Cricetulus griseus: one gene and its partner. The protein of the gene in region 1 interacts with the protein of each later gene in a pairwise test. Links are inferred from orthologs where the notes say so. Each region holds a gene or a part of one and is shown on either strand. Other genes may lie near its edges. The genes, in order: Cda and Plekhb2.

Region 1 (7,221 bases):
GTCTCTGCACAGCTGTGTTTGCCATGGATACAGTCCCCATCTTTGAAGGGCAGGTTTGAAGGAGTCAAAGGCTGTGACTAGCCTGGAAGTCATCAGGGTGCTAGTGCTGAGGGATCCAGGAGGCTGAGCCTGGGGAGGTCTAGGTTTGTCGGTAGTAGCAAGGGCCACAGTTCAGTATTGCCAGCTATGGATTCTGAGACATTCTCCTCAGAATTCTCCTCAGAAGCAGCCAGATCTTGATTTATGCCAGGATGAGTCAGTATGCAACAAACGTGACTTGGTTTTTAAAAGGCGTTTGGTTTTTCAATAGAGGAATTCTCTGTATAGTCCTGGCTGCCCTGGAACTCTGCCTCCCCGGTGCCGGGATTAAAGGCATGGGCCACCACCACCTGGCAGTTTGTAAAAGTTTTTAATGCAGGTTTAAATATGAGATGGGGGGAGAGAGGGATAGAGATTAAGAAAAAGAACTAGAGAGATGGCTCAGTGGCTAAGATCCCTTCAAGCTCTTGCTGAGCACCTGAGTTCAGTTCCCAGCCCTGGCATCAGACATCTCACAACTTCCTGTGTTGTCAGCTCCTCAGGATCCAGTGCTCTCCTCTGGCCTCCACTGGCACTTGCATTCACGTGCACAAGCTCACACAGAAACACATTGCGTAGAAACACATACTAAAAAGTAATAGATAGTAAATGTTTTTAAAAAGAAAAGGATGAAAGTACAAACTCAAGAGGGAGTGCAAACCAAGCATCTCAAGAAAGACAATAGCTCTGTGTGTGTGTATGCACGCGTGTTTGTGCATGTGTGTGATATTTTTGTGACTTTTGAAACTACACAGCTACATCATTCAAAGGATTTCAGGTTTAAGTGAAAACGTTTTTTGGTGTACTTATTTTCATTGTAAGAACTTTAGTGTATGACACTCATTATAAAGTTGTTTCTGGAATGTATTGTTCAGGCTTACAAACTTTCAAGACAAAAATATGGGTCAAAAGAGGCCAAAGGAATCATTTATTTTATTTATTTATTTGAGATAGAGCTTTCCTATGTAGCCCTTCTAGCCTGGAACTCTCTCTGTAGACCAAGGTGGCCTCCAACCCACAGATCTACCTGCCTCTGTCTCCTAAATACCAGCAGCAAAGGCATGTCTACCATACCCAGTCCTTGGAGGAATACTTTTTTTTTTTGAGAAAGGGTTTCCCTGTGAAACAGTTCTGGCTGTCCTAGAATTTGCTTTGTAGACCAGGCTGGCCTCAAACTCACAGAGCTCTGCCTGCCTCTGCCTCCCAAGTGCTGGAATTAAAGGCATGCATCACCAACAACAAGGAAATTGTGTGTGTGTGTGTGTGTGTGTGTGTGTGTGTGTGTGTGTGTGTAATATGTGACAGTGGGTGCATGCTTACCATGGCAAGCATTTGGGGGTCAGTGGGCAGCTTTGTAGAGTCGGTTCTCTCCTCCACCTTTGCATGCTGGGGCTCTGACTCAGGATGTTAAGCTTGCTGGGCGAGCCAGCACTTTACCCGCTGAGCCATCTGGCCAGGTCCTTTCCCTTTTTTTGTCTCCTCAGGGTGGGGTGCATAGACCAGACTACTCATTGAAGTCTTTTTGAGTCCTGCCATGAGGACACCATCACCCTTTTCCAAGCTGGAATTACACTTGGCCCCTAAACATTTATCATTTAGATCCACGGACCTGTCTTCATGCTGCAAGTCCCCATCCAAGGGGAAAGTGCAACTGGATGGGTGGGTACCAAGCTGGAGGGATAAGAGCCTCTTGAGATATGGATACGGTGGGGTGGGCAGGAACTAATAGAGACAAGTGTGGGGAGGAACTGAGGCAAACCCTGCCCCTGGGGCATTGGCACTGCCAGGTGTGACCTCATCTATATATGGCTGAGAGCTAACGGCCCTGGATGCAGAGGTGTCTGTGTCCCATTCTCTTCCTTTCTCCCATGCCTTCCCCGACCCAGCCCTTAGCACCACACAAGCCTCACTCAGAGAAGTTGCTGATTCATCTTGCATGCTGGCCATCTGGAGACACTTGGACGTGCCTGATTGCACGGCCTGGAATTTGGCCCGTTCTATACGATCTTGGCCAAGTCACTTGTAGACAATAACCAGGTTTGTGTAAAGTGTTCACACGTGCCATTTCTAGATCCTCCCATCAGGCTCTCTATTCGGCATTATCATCTCATGTTCACACCCATTGGCAGGCGATGCTGGCTGTGTGCCCACTTTGTAAATAAGGAAACTGAGGCTCAGAGAAGCAGTGCAGCTCTCCCTGGGTCATGGAAAGAGCTAATAAACAGACCTGGAGTCTAAGCCAGAGCCCACTTTAACCCAAAGTTTCCGTGCTTCCGTGCTACTGTAGTCAGAGGAAAACTGCCAACGTTCATCAAGGAACCAGATAACATTTATATGAGAGAGAAAAGGAACAACCAGGGTATAAATCCATTTCTGGTACCACCAACCCAATGTCCATGAAGAGAAAGGAAGGAAGGAAGGAAGGCCCGGCTTCCCTTCAGCTGATATGCTTTTAAATGCTGGGTTAGGACTGGGAGGAAAAGAAAGGAAACCACTGAAACCAGAGACGTTCCCGCGCTTTGCATACCTTCTGACTTGGCACACTGCCATGGTGGCCCTTCAGCCTCATCCCTTCTCTCAGTTAAAAAAAAAAAAAAAAAAAAAGCCATTAGAAATTTCAAGGGCTCTGGACCCTTTGAGTTTTGAGCTCAGGTCACACAGACCCACCCAGAATCCTCCTCCCATGGACGGTGTTTGTCTCCAACCATTCACTGAAGTGGCACTGGCCCTGTGACCCCCTCATGATCCAGGCTGGCACTGAGTGAAGGCTTTAAAGGAGACTGACTCACTCGTGGGCACCACACATCGGTCCACCCTGGGACTCCCCAGCTCAGCCGAAACGGTATCCTCGGGGCTCCAGCCCCGGGAGCCTCCAGGTCTCTGGTGTCGCGCGGGACACACCCCGGGGGAGGAGCCACCTCTCCCGGCCAGTGCAAGCAGACCGCCAGCTACAGTTTCCTCTCCTCTGCTGCAGCCAGCACACCCACCCCGGACCGGACCGACATGGCCCAGGAACGCCCCTCCTGTGCCGTGGAGCCCGAGCACGTCCAGCGGTTGCTACTGTCCTCTCGTGAGGCCAAGAAGTCAGCCTACTGCCCCTACAGCCGCTTCCCTGTAGGAGCTGCCCTGCTCACCGGGGACGGGAGGATCTTCTCTGGTAAGGGCTGGCGCCGTGGCCCCCTCCCTGGCAACCTGGGTGGGGCCCAGGTACGCGTGGAGAGGGGAGCAACGCCGCCCCTCCTCACTGGGCCTCTCCGGCCTCCTTGCCCAGGCTGTGGGGCAACTCAACTGTTGTTCTACACAGTGGTTCTCTGTTCTTAGAAGTCTGGGATGGGGAAGGGAGTTTGCAGGTGAGGCTGGAGGACAGGCCAAAACCAACCCCCCACCCCCACCCCCGCGACCTGCAGGACAGGAGAGGATTGACGCGTTCAGAAGGTCCTGCATGCCTAGTATTCGCCTGTTCATCTGTAAATTCTTCCTCTAACCTCCTGACCGGGGTTAGATCCGTTTTTTGATGAAGAAGCTGAAACCAAGAGACAGGTCCTAAGTCACAGCAGGTGATGGCACCCAGGGCTGGAGGCCCCCAAAGCCTCCCCTCCTCCTGCACACTAGGGTGCTGAGGACGGCTGGTGAGGAATGAGCTTCCTGCGTAGTGTCTAGGAGAGGATCCAGGCACGGTCTGGTCCGGGTGCCCAGCAGTCTGCACTGAGTTAATACGGATCTGCCCTGGGCTCATGTTGTTTAATTTCTGGTTTTATAGACACTCGCCTAGGCCAGAGTGGCTGCAGCTGCTGGTGGGATGCTCGCTCACATGCACAAAAGTCTGGGTTTAGGGGGAGGGCAAGAGGAGAGGAAAGAGAAGAGAGGGAAGGAGGGAGGGAGGGAGGGAGGGAGGGAGGGAGGGAGGGAGGGAGGGAGGGAGGGAGGGAGGGAAGAGAGGGAGGGAGGGAGCATGGACAGGAGACAACTACAGTGCCCCTTTGTATGTCTTGTTGACTGAGGTTCTGTGGTGTCCTGAATCACCTGGGTATTGTGTGACACTTTTCCTTGGGAGATGGCAACACACATCTATTCACCCCCAGGGAGGGAGCCCAAGACAGACCTGAGTGCAGATGCCTCCAAAGTCCAGCTCGGGGAACCAATGAGTTTTATTGGGGTCACTTACAGGAATGTGGATGAGGGGTCACTTACAGGCACAGAAATGACTCAAAGGCAGCTGCATCACCAAGGCCACCCCAGCATGGGTGACAACTCACAAAGCTGGGAACCTGGAACACGCTGCACAGCCTGCAGGCAGCTCCACAGGTTGGAGTGTCCTTTTCATGTGGCTTGCTTGCTCTAAACTCTTGCAGGCAGCTGGTCTGGTCTCAGAGTCTTCTTTGCAACTCAGCCTCCTTCATCTGAGAGAGATTCTCATTTTTTACGGTTTACTCTGGCAGGGGGAGGCCTAGCTAATCTGGTTGGTTTCAGGGGCTTCCAGACGGGGTTTATGGAGTACATTGAGTACATACATGGCTTGGACCAGGACTGTGGGAAGAGGAGAAGGAGGAAAGAGATCTGGGATGATCTTCCAGTCAGTAAAGTGCTGATCTCCAGAACTCACATAAAAATCTAGGCTTGGAGGCACTCACTTGCCAGTGCTGGGTAGATGGAGACAGATGGATTTGGGCCCTCTGGCCAGATAGCCTAGCCTTAGTGGCAAGTGCTAGGTCAGCGAAAACAAAGAACAGGGTGGGTGGTGTCTGAGGAATCATACCTGAGGTTGACCCAGTCTGGCCTCTATACTAATGCATCAGGATGGACACTGCGCGCGCGCACACACACACACACACACACACACACACACACACACACACACACACACACACACACACACGGCCTTAACCAGGAATTTTTAGCCAGCTGGAGCAGGGGAATGATAAAGTAAATGGCCAAAGGCAGAGCTGGTTTGTGCTGGGGACGAGGTTGGCATGGACCAAGAGCAGGAGTGTCCTGTTAACTGTGTGGGAGATCTCTTGCAGTCTCACAGCCAGTGTAGGAGGGAGGCAGGCGAGTGCCGTCGTATTAGTCAGGAAGCTTTCCCTTGTGGGTGACAAGCCTGCACGGTAGCTCCAATTTCAGGGCAGGCTGACCCAGGGACTTGGGTGCCATGCCATTCTGTTTTTTGAGACAGGGTTTCTCTCTCTGTGTAACACTGGCTGTCCTGGAACTTGCTCTATAGACCAGGTGCACCTCTAGCTCTGACTGCTGGGATTAAAGGTGTGTGCCACTACACCCAGCATGCTACACGCCACTCTTATGATGGGTGCTGCTTGCTTTCTGTTGCCTGGCAGATGAGTCTCTACCCCCTAGAGGACAAGGGCGCAGGCAGCCTCTGCTCTTCATTCTTACAGCCATTGCACCCCACTTTAGATCTCATCCCAAACTCAGGCTCTATGGGCAGAACCTTGTTGCAGGGTGGGAGTGCAGAAATGTTACCACTGAACTGAGAGAGGGTCCTTTTGTCTACTGGGACGCAAAAGTCACAAGTAAACCAGGAGGGATAGTCTTTCAGCTTGGTAGTGCTGGGTCCTCTAGTGCCCAAAGCTTGTGGTATGGACAGACTGACACAAGGGCTTAGCGCTCCAAGTCTGGAAAATGTAAGACTTGTGCTCCCCAACCTACAACTCAGAGACCTAGAGTTTCAGGGGCTCACAAGGGAGGTGCGGGGCTCTGGGCTTGGATTGCCCGTAGCCTGGCTGGTGCTCAGCAGCTAGTGAGTTCCGTTATGGCACCCTTGGCCTTTAAGGCTTGTCCACTTCCTAGAGCTCTGAAGCCTGAGGCAGGCATTGCTTCATCCCTTACTTTCCACAAACTTCTGCCTTCTCCACATTTTTCCTCATTATCCTCGCCCCGTCTACTCTCTGAAACACTAGGTCACCTTTTTGTGCCTAGTGTCACTGCTGCAACTGTTTTTGCTGTCTCCTCTTTGCATAACCAGCTCATCTTGCTCTACCTGTGATAGCAAGAGTCTTTACCTGCCATAAAGACTGCAAGTAGGCAAAAAAAAAAAAAAAAAAAAAAAGTCCCCTCCACATGAGCGTTTTATGGACAGAGCCAGGAGGAGGTGGGTATTTCATAGGTGTGGCATGCAACACACAGCCACTTCAGGTTTTACCAAGACCAAAGTCATCCCTCCCATCTGTCAATCACAAGCCTTCCTGAGTCATCAAGGGAGTGTCCCTCTGAACCGGTAGAGGCATCAAATCCAGAGCAGGCTGAAATGGGTCACTGGAGTAGCTATAGGTGGGGGTCAAGGCACAGGTGTGTCCAACCTTTTGACCTTACAAATGAATGTTGTCATTTACATAACAAAACACAAATCTCTCTCTTTCTCTCTTTGGGTTTTCAAGACAGGGTTCCATTGTGTAGCCCAGTCTGTCCTGGAACTCACAGAGATCCACTTGCCACCTCTCCCGAGTGCTGGCATTAAAGGTTTGTGCCACCATCACCTGGCAAAAAAAATGTTTTTTAAAGATTTATTTTTAATTGTGTGTATGCATCTGTCTGTGTGTGTCTTTTGTGTGTCTACGGGTCTGTGTGTGGGTATGAACACGTGAGTGCAGTTATTTTGCCCAGAGGTCAGAAGGTATTGGATCCCTTAGACCTGGAGTTACAGGAAGGTGTGAGCTGCCTGATGTGTGTGCTGGGGACCAAACTCTAGTTTTCTGCAATAGTAGTATGTACTTTTAGCCCCTGGGCCATAGCTTCAGCCCCCCAAATCTCATAATACTTTAAAAGGCTATTGTTTTGTGTTGAGCTTCCATTGTAGGTATCCTTAACTGCATGCTGCCCACGGGCTTCTGGTTGGATGTGTTTGGAAGTTCACTGAGGCGTGTCTTACCTAGAGCAAAGGTTTCTAGCTGTAGAAGTGACCTGAAGCAGGAGTCCTGCCCTCAATGGGTGTGTCTAGAATAGGCTTTGTCACTAGGGTGCATGCTTCCCTGAAAGGTTCCTGCTCAAGACCACCTGAAAGGGAAGGTCTGCTGGATGGTGTGCTTTCCTGACAACTTCATTCATTCACAGAAAAACATCAAAGCAGGCTCCCAGAAAGGACTTAATCTCACTACAAAACTAACAATCTCAACATCGGTAAAAAAAAAA
Region 2 (7,217 bases), on another chromosome or scaffold:
TCCACTTCAGTTAACACAATCTAGACACTCCCTCACAGGACAGCTCAGAGCTCTGTCTCCTAGGTGATGCAGATCATGTCAAGTTGACAGTCAGAATTAAAAATCATTGTGTATGTTTGAAATTGACTCTCACAGTACTTTTAACTTGCTGTAGAAATAGCTACCTTGGGTTGAGTTTTTCTGTCAGGTACCGAGTCAAAAACTTGTACATTATTTCAGCCATATTCTGCATAATCTTGCCAAGTAGATGGCATATTTTCACTTTACAGATGAAAAAGCAAGGCTCAGAAAGCTAAGTAAGCTGCCCAATGTGATGAGTTGAGACAGGATTTGAATACAGGTCTTCTGGGTCCAAAGTCTATACTTAGACACACTAGTCTTTATGAATTTTAAAAACATATAATCATAATCATGCTTCCTGACTTTCAGTTGCTATAATACAGTCACTAAAGTTCCCCCCTCCAGTTTGAAGGCAATGAGAATTATTAGAAAGTAAACTACAAGCCAGGCGTTGGTGGCGCATGCCTTTAATCCCAGCACTCGGGAGGCAGAGGCAGGCGGAACTCACTGAGTTCGAGTGCCAGGATAGGCTCCAAAAGCTACACAGAGAAACCCTGTCTCAAAAAACCAAAAAAACGAAAGAAAGAAAAGAAAGTAAACTACAAGTAGGTTGGTTTTGTTGTTTTGGAGTATGTGCTGTTTTGGTTTTGCCAACTTGACACAAACTGGAGTTACCTGAAAAGAGGAGCCTCAATTGAGAAAAACCCTCAATCATATTGCCTATAGGCAAGTCAGTAGGGCATTTTTTTTTATTAAAAATTGATGTGGGAGGGCCCAGACCACTGTGGGTGTGGCTACCCCTGAGCAGATGGTCCTGGTTTGGACAAGAAATACCCATCTAATTACATCTTTCCTCTCTCAGCTTGTACTGTGTAAGTTTTGGGTAGTTGCTGACACTGATCAAGTAATTCTTTTAAGTTGTCTGTCATCCACTAATACAGAAGAAAGGCTGGAAAAAAAAAAAAAGAAAGAAGTCACATATAAAATACGAGCTAAAGCACAGTCAAGTTCTCTGGAGTCAAGGAGAACCTACTTCCCATCCACCCACTCACCCCATCTCTAGCGAGTGCTACAGGAACACATTTCTGAGCAGCCACTCTGACAGGAGAGAGGATGCAACAAACTGCCAAACAATGTGCTGTTTTTATAGGGTGTGCTTAAAACAACAAAAATAAAACAAACAAAAAACTTCAGATTTCAACAAAAGGTAAAGACAGTTCATAACACTAACTCTCGGATAAAAACAAACTCCTCAGGGAGTTTCTTCAGCTCTGATCCAGTCTTCTGGCCTCCTGGCTCCTGAGCCCTGCAGGCCTCAGGGAAACTTCACTGGTTTTTCTTTACCCATCTCATCTGTCTAACTTCTTTTGGTTGCAAATGGTATGGTTATGCCAGGAAGTTCCTTACAGGAACTAAACTAAACTAAACGCGTGGCAGCAGGATGCCGCCGTCCTTATGATACAGTACTCACAGATACCACTTATTACTAACAATAGGGAATGGCGAGGAACAGGAAGGGCAGATAGAGCACTTTTATCCTCTATATTTTAGGGACAAGTTGGTAAGATGTATTGTAGAAAGGAATCTGCACACACCCCTGTTCATGGTCTGCTATTCTGAGTTAACCTCTGGCCCAGGAGGCACCGGGAGGAACACAGGACTTGATATTTTAAGAATGTCCAAACCCAGTTAACAGAGACTGTAACGGAGAAGAGCAGACAGACAATCAGGAGGAATGCATAGACATCATGAACTTCAGGGTCTAGGCTGATCTCCTGACCAGCAGGCCAAGACTGAGTAGGAATAGCAGACTGTGCAATGTCAGACTGCCTCCGTTTCCCCCTTGCTGTACCACCTGTCAACTGCAGCTGACTTATTAGAGCCTGTTCAACGGTATGAACACGGCCTCCCTCTCAGATCACTGGCTCTCTGCAAACCTACAACCTAAAGGTACAGTTTCCAGAGATAGATAAGAGATAGATAGCAGACAGACATAGTGAGAGGAGCCACCAGTTTCATAAATTCAGTCTTTATTATCAGGGAATTTACTTACAAAGATATGCTAACATCCTTACTTACTGAACATCTACTGTGTGTCTGACAGAAAAACACCTTTGATTCCTGCCCTGAGGAAGAACAGTGGGAAATCTCTCATACACAAAATAAACATCACAGACACTAGAGAAACCAGGACAAGCACCTGCCTGGCTAGAGGGTCTCTTTTGGGGCCATCTGTCCTAACCAAATCCTGCTGACCACACAGAGGCAAAGCTTCCTGGGCCCAGGAAACACTCCAAGCACCCTAAGGAAGGAGCCAGCAGCAACAGTACTCCCAGCTACATGCCCTTCTCCACTCTAGAAGGCAAAACCACAGCACAGGCTGGCAGACACACAGCCATGTTTGGTCAATGACTCCTTCAGCAAACACACATCACCCTAAGTCAGCAGGCAGTAAATCCCAGCTGCCACCTCACTGTTTCCTGTAAAGTGGGACAAGTCACTTCCTGCACTGGTTGCCTCAAAGACCACAAGAGACCAGTCTTTCTATCCTAGTAAACCACACACACACACACACACACACACACACACACACACACACACACACACACACACACACACACACACCACAGAGAGGGGGGAGGAGGGAGGAAGGGAGGGGGAGGGAGGGAGGGAGAGGGAGGTAGGCTTCTTTGGAGGGATTAATCAGTGTGTTCTGAATTAGACATGCAGTCTCTAGAATCTGTAACCTTTCCACCTACTCTAAAACACTGGGAATTACTCCACTCCTTCATGAGGTCTCTTTGTAAACCACTATGCATCTGAAAGTTAAGATACAACAAACAATTTCTGCTTATCCCAAATAAAATCCCTGACCTCCCAAGGTCTCAGTCTAGCTGCGTAACAATTAAATGTAATAAAAAGGAGTTACGCTTGAACTAAAGACAGGGTAAGACTGCCGACCATGGAAGTGCAGTAGAACAGGAGGGCCCACCAGAGCCAGGCAATGGCAGGCGACAAGTAACCCGAGGGTCTCAGTGAGGCAGTAGCGGTCCCTTGCGGGGCCTGAGACGTCCCATCCTCAGCAGTGCGCCCCCACCACCTCCTCACCCGCCATGGGTGGAGAAGGGGGGGTCAGGACTAAGCGGCTCTACGGAAGATACCATCAGGATAGGGGACACGGGGAAGGATGCTCTGGGTTGGGGAGGATATAACCAGGATGTGGGCCTTTGGGGAGCCCGGAAAGGGCTCTAGGAGAAGGGGAGGGGCACCAGAATGGGCCAGAAGTAGGGAAGGGAGGGAAAAGATTATGGTGGGGAACACTGGGGAAACCCGCGGGGACCCAGGGAAAGGGGGGGCGCTAGGCTAGACAGAGCATTAAGAAAGACTACGCAGGGAAGACAGATCAGGATGGAGACAATGAACAGGGTAGGGGGAAGAGACAGAGACCTCGAAGGGGAATACAACCAGCGTGGGGGACACTGGGGACAGGGAAGGAGACAGGAGGTGGAGGGAATACAAGTAGTGCAGAGGCTGAGGCAATACAATCAGGATAAGGGACTCCGGAGAGGCAGGAGCTGGTGGGGGCGGGATACAATCAGGAAGGGCGACATCAGAGAAGAGGGAGGGGCGTGGGTCAGAATGGAGACATTCGAGAAAGGGAAGAGAGCGAGAAGGGGTGGTGGCGGGGGGACTTTGGGGAAGGGAGAAGCAACAGTGGCTGAGAGGGGTCACCGAAGAGAGGACGTGAGGCTGAGGAAGTGGGCGCGGCCAGCAAGGTTGGAGTGCCCAAGAGCCGGGCTTGGAGAGGGAGTGTTGGCGAAGGTGGTTACCCCCCACCCCGGAGGGACGTGGAGCAGGGCCGGATGGGGTACTCCGGCAGGGGAGGTCCCGGGAAGGGGTCGCACGCGGGCGCAGTGGGGCACCGCGGGCACAGTCACCTGCGAATGTTCGGTCCGCTAGGCAAGAATCAGGCTGGGAGTGCAAGGTCGCCGGCTTCTTCTGCTCTTTGCTGAACGCGCAAGTCCAGGTCCTGCGTCACCGCCCGGCGCGCATGCGCGGGAGGCAGGTGCCTGCCTGGGTGCAGGGCCGGCCGGCGCCGAGTCTGAGCAGTTCCTCCTAACTGGGGCTTAGTTATCTATCACCTCAAAGGCGGTTCTAAGTTTTCTGAACTTGGCCTCCAAACTCAGCTTCCCGGAGAAGTTGTATGACTGCCTAACTGGGGTAAACCAAGGGCGAGCAGAGCCTGCTTTGAGCCAGAATTGAGAACAGCGTGCTCGGAAACTAGAAAATGAAGATGTCAAAACTGAAACAGCAACCGAGGAACAAAGCTGGAATCCTTCGCAATAAGTCACAAAGAATTGTTATAACTTAGAATATAAAGTAAAACGATTACAGAAATAAGTGAGGCCAGGCGGTGGTGGTGCACGCCTTTAATCCCAGCACTCGGGAGGCAGAGGCAGAGGATCTCTGTGATTTCGAGACCAGCGTGGTCTACAAGAGCTAGTTCCAGCACAACCTCTAAAGCCACAGAGACCCTGTATGAAAAACCAAAGGGGAAAAAAAAGAAAAAGAAAAAAGAAAGAAAGAAAGAAAGAAAGAAAGAAAGAAAGAAAGAAAGAAAGAAAGAAAGGAGTTTGGAAGGATCCGTGTGTGTTAGCACAGAACCCAGAACTGTGGAGGCTGAGTCAAGAGGATCACGAGTTTCAGGCCAGTCTGGGCTACACAGCCACTGTCATAAAAAACAAACAAACAACAAATAAAAAAAAAAACTAGCTCATAAAGAGGGCATGGTGGTACACAACTGTAATTGCAACACTTGGGAAATGAAGTAGGAAGACTTCAAGAAGCCCAAGGTCATTCTTGCCTACATAGTGAGCTCAAGGACAGCCTGGGAATCCAGGGGAGCCCATTTCCATAATATATATATATATATATATATATATATATATATATATGTATATATATATATATATATATATATATTATATATACTACCATACTTTTTTGTATATTGGACAAGGCACCGAATACTCCCCAGAATGGGAACAGGCCTGAGCAAGCATAAGACTCAGGACCACCTGTTACTCTTTTGTTTAAAAAGAAGAAAAGAGAAATGCTGAGACAGACATACTTACTATAAGTTTATTATAAGGCCCGGCAGAATGGGGAGACTAAGAAGAGGAACAGGGGTAAATGGCTGACCACCATGGCTGGTCACCATAGAGAGAGCACATAGGTGAGAGAGAGTAGAAAGGAAGCTGAGAGGAAACAGAGCAGGGAAACAGAGAGAGGGAACAGAGAGAGGGAACAGAGAGTGTAAAGGGGCAGGGACTTGTCTTTTAAAGGGGTCCTCTGCACCTGCGTGCAGACTTAGTTCCCATGGAACCTTGGGCTGACCAGGGTACTGCCTGTTCCACCAGGTAACAGGGGCAGGCCAGCATAATGCCTGAACCTGTCTATCAGATTTTTGATTTCTGCCAGATCTTTTTGCTTTTTATTTTTTGTCTTTTTTTTCTTTCACTGGCTCTGTTGTTCATGGCTTGTTTACTAAATACTATGCCTTTCCAGGGCCCTCTTTTTAAATCTACTCTCTCCCTTTAAATCTCCTGTCCATTTGCTACAATGTACGGATCAGAGATTACATTCTGGTTCCCCCTTTACTGTTATCCAGTCCTGCTTGTCTTTGTACCTGTAATTTAATTTTATACTTATCTAGCTCTATATACAACTTAAATTTAACTGTTAAGTCTCATGTTTCTAAATTGCTATGTATCTTTAAATGATAGTAAACATTTAAAGTCATAAAGGTCTAATTTAACTATGCTTAAAATATAAGCTAAGTCTATACAACTTAAATTTAACTCATATATCTTTAAATAATGATAAAAATTTAAAATCATAAAGATTATTTCAAATTAACAAAATATTTATGCCACTCAGTCTATCCTATAAGCCGTTTACAAAGGTACAGCTTTTATTACAAAAAGGAATTTTTCTCTAACTAAAGGCAAACTTTTAACTGCTGAGATACTAAACTGATGACAGCCCTCAAATGCTCAGAGATCTAGAGAATATGGCATTTAAAATGTTTTGTTAAAAAGCTTTTTATAACAGAGAGATAGGCCAGCTGCTGGCCCCACCCCATTTCCTCCGAGAAGACTGATGGGCACTAAAGAAGCTTCATCTCGAGTCAGTGACAACGCTGGTCACTGAGCAACCCTGCCCTTCACCTCAACTATTACAAAATATACCAGACCTTGGACAAGAGGACAATGGAATTGACTCTCCCGGCGTTGCTTGGGCCAACGGTAGGCGAGTCTTCCCAAAGTCTGTAATCCACAGGTCACAAGTTATCAGCAAGAAGGCAGGTGTCCTGCAGCCCACTTCTATGGATGGAGGACCTTGGGGGTGGCTGTCCATGCAGCCTGCTGGCAAGTCTCTGTTATTCTTTAATCATTGATTCAGGTAAAATCTTATCCTTCTCAAGAACTCTGATGCTTTTGACGACTGGTAGTCTTGCCAACTTAAAGCAAAACAGATTCCAGGAACAGGTATTTTAGGGTTTATCTATGTGAAGATAGGAAAGTCTAAGATGTATAAAAGTCTGAGAATGTAGTTACAAAGGCCTGAGGATAAAAAGGCTTAAATGATGATAAAATGAGTTGAGACATTAAAAAGAATAAAATATGTTCCGGATTTCTCTATTTCTCATGCTACTGTTCATAATAAAGTTCACCAATACCACTATAGGATCATAACTACAAAGTCAAGATTAAGATGCTTTTCATTGTCCTAAAAAAAATCTGTCTGTTTTAAAATGGTAAAGCTTTTAGCCAAGTTGCTTCTAACGTAAATATGCTGCTAATGTGTCTAATACTTATGTTTCCACAAACTCTAAGGACTCTTGTAAGTTCCAGGGAGCAGAATCAGATCCAAACAATCAGATTCACTCCAGGTAATATTCAACCTTTCCCCGGTCCCAAATTCCCTTCCCTCGTGTTAGGACATCTCAGGAACCCCTCCCTCCTCTTACAATCTTCCCCTCAAGTGACAGGACCTAAGAAAAAATTTTTTTCTAAACTTAACCTTGTCCTCTGCTCTGTCAACATCTTGCCAGGTCTAAGAGGCGCCAGGGAGTTCCATACAGCCTGGACTGC

What was found.
Region 2: the proteins of Cda (region 1) and Plekhb2 interact in binary tests that used the Homo sapiens proteins (3 or more experiments, as listed by UniProt). The two-hybrid records come from large-scale screens. The link is inferred for Cricetulus griseus from reciprocal best matches to the Homo sapiens genes CDA and PLEKHB2.

Annotation. Positions count from the first base shown.
Region 1 is NC_048595.1:14,985,325-14,992,545, forward strand, and holds the start of Cda (cytidine deaminase), read left to right. Parts: upstream 1-2,873; 5' UTR 2,874-3,081; coding exon 3,082-3,235; intron 3,236-7,221. UniProt on the Homo sapiens protein: This enzyme scavenges exogenous and endogenous cytidine and 2'-deoxycytidine for UMP synthesis.
Region 2 is NW_023276807.1:13,221,946-13,229,162, forward strand, and holds the start of Plekhb2 (pleckstrin homology domain-containing family B member 2), read right to left. Parts: upstream 4,143-7,217; 5' UTR 3,999-4,142; intron 1-3,998. UniProt on the Homo sapiens protein: Involved in retrograde transport of recycling endosomes.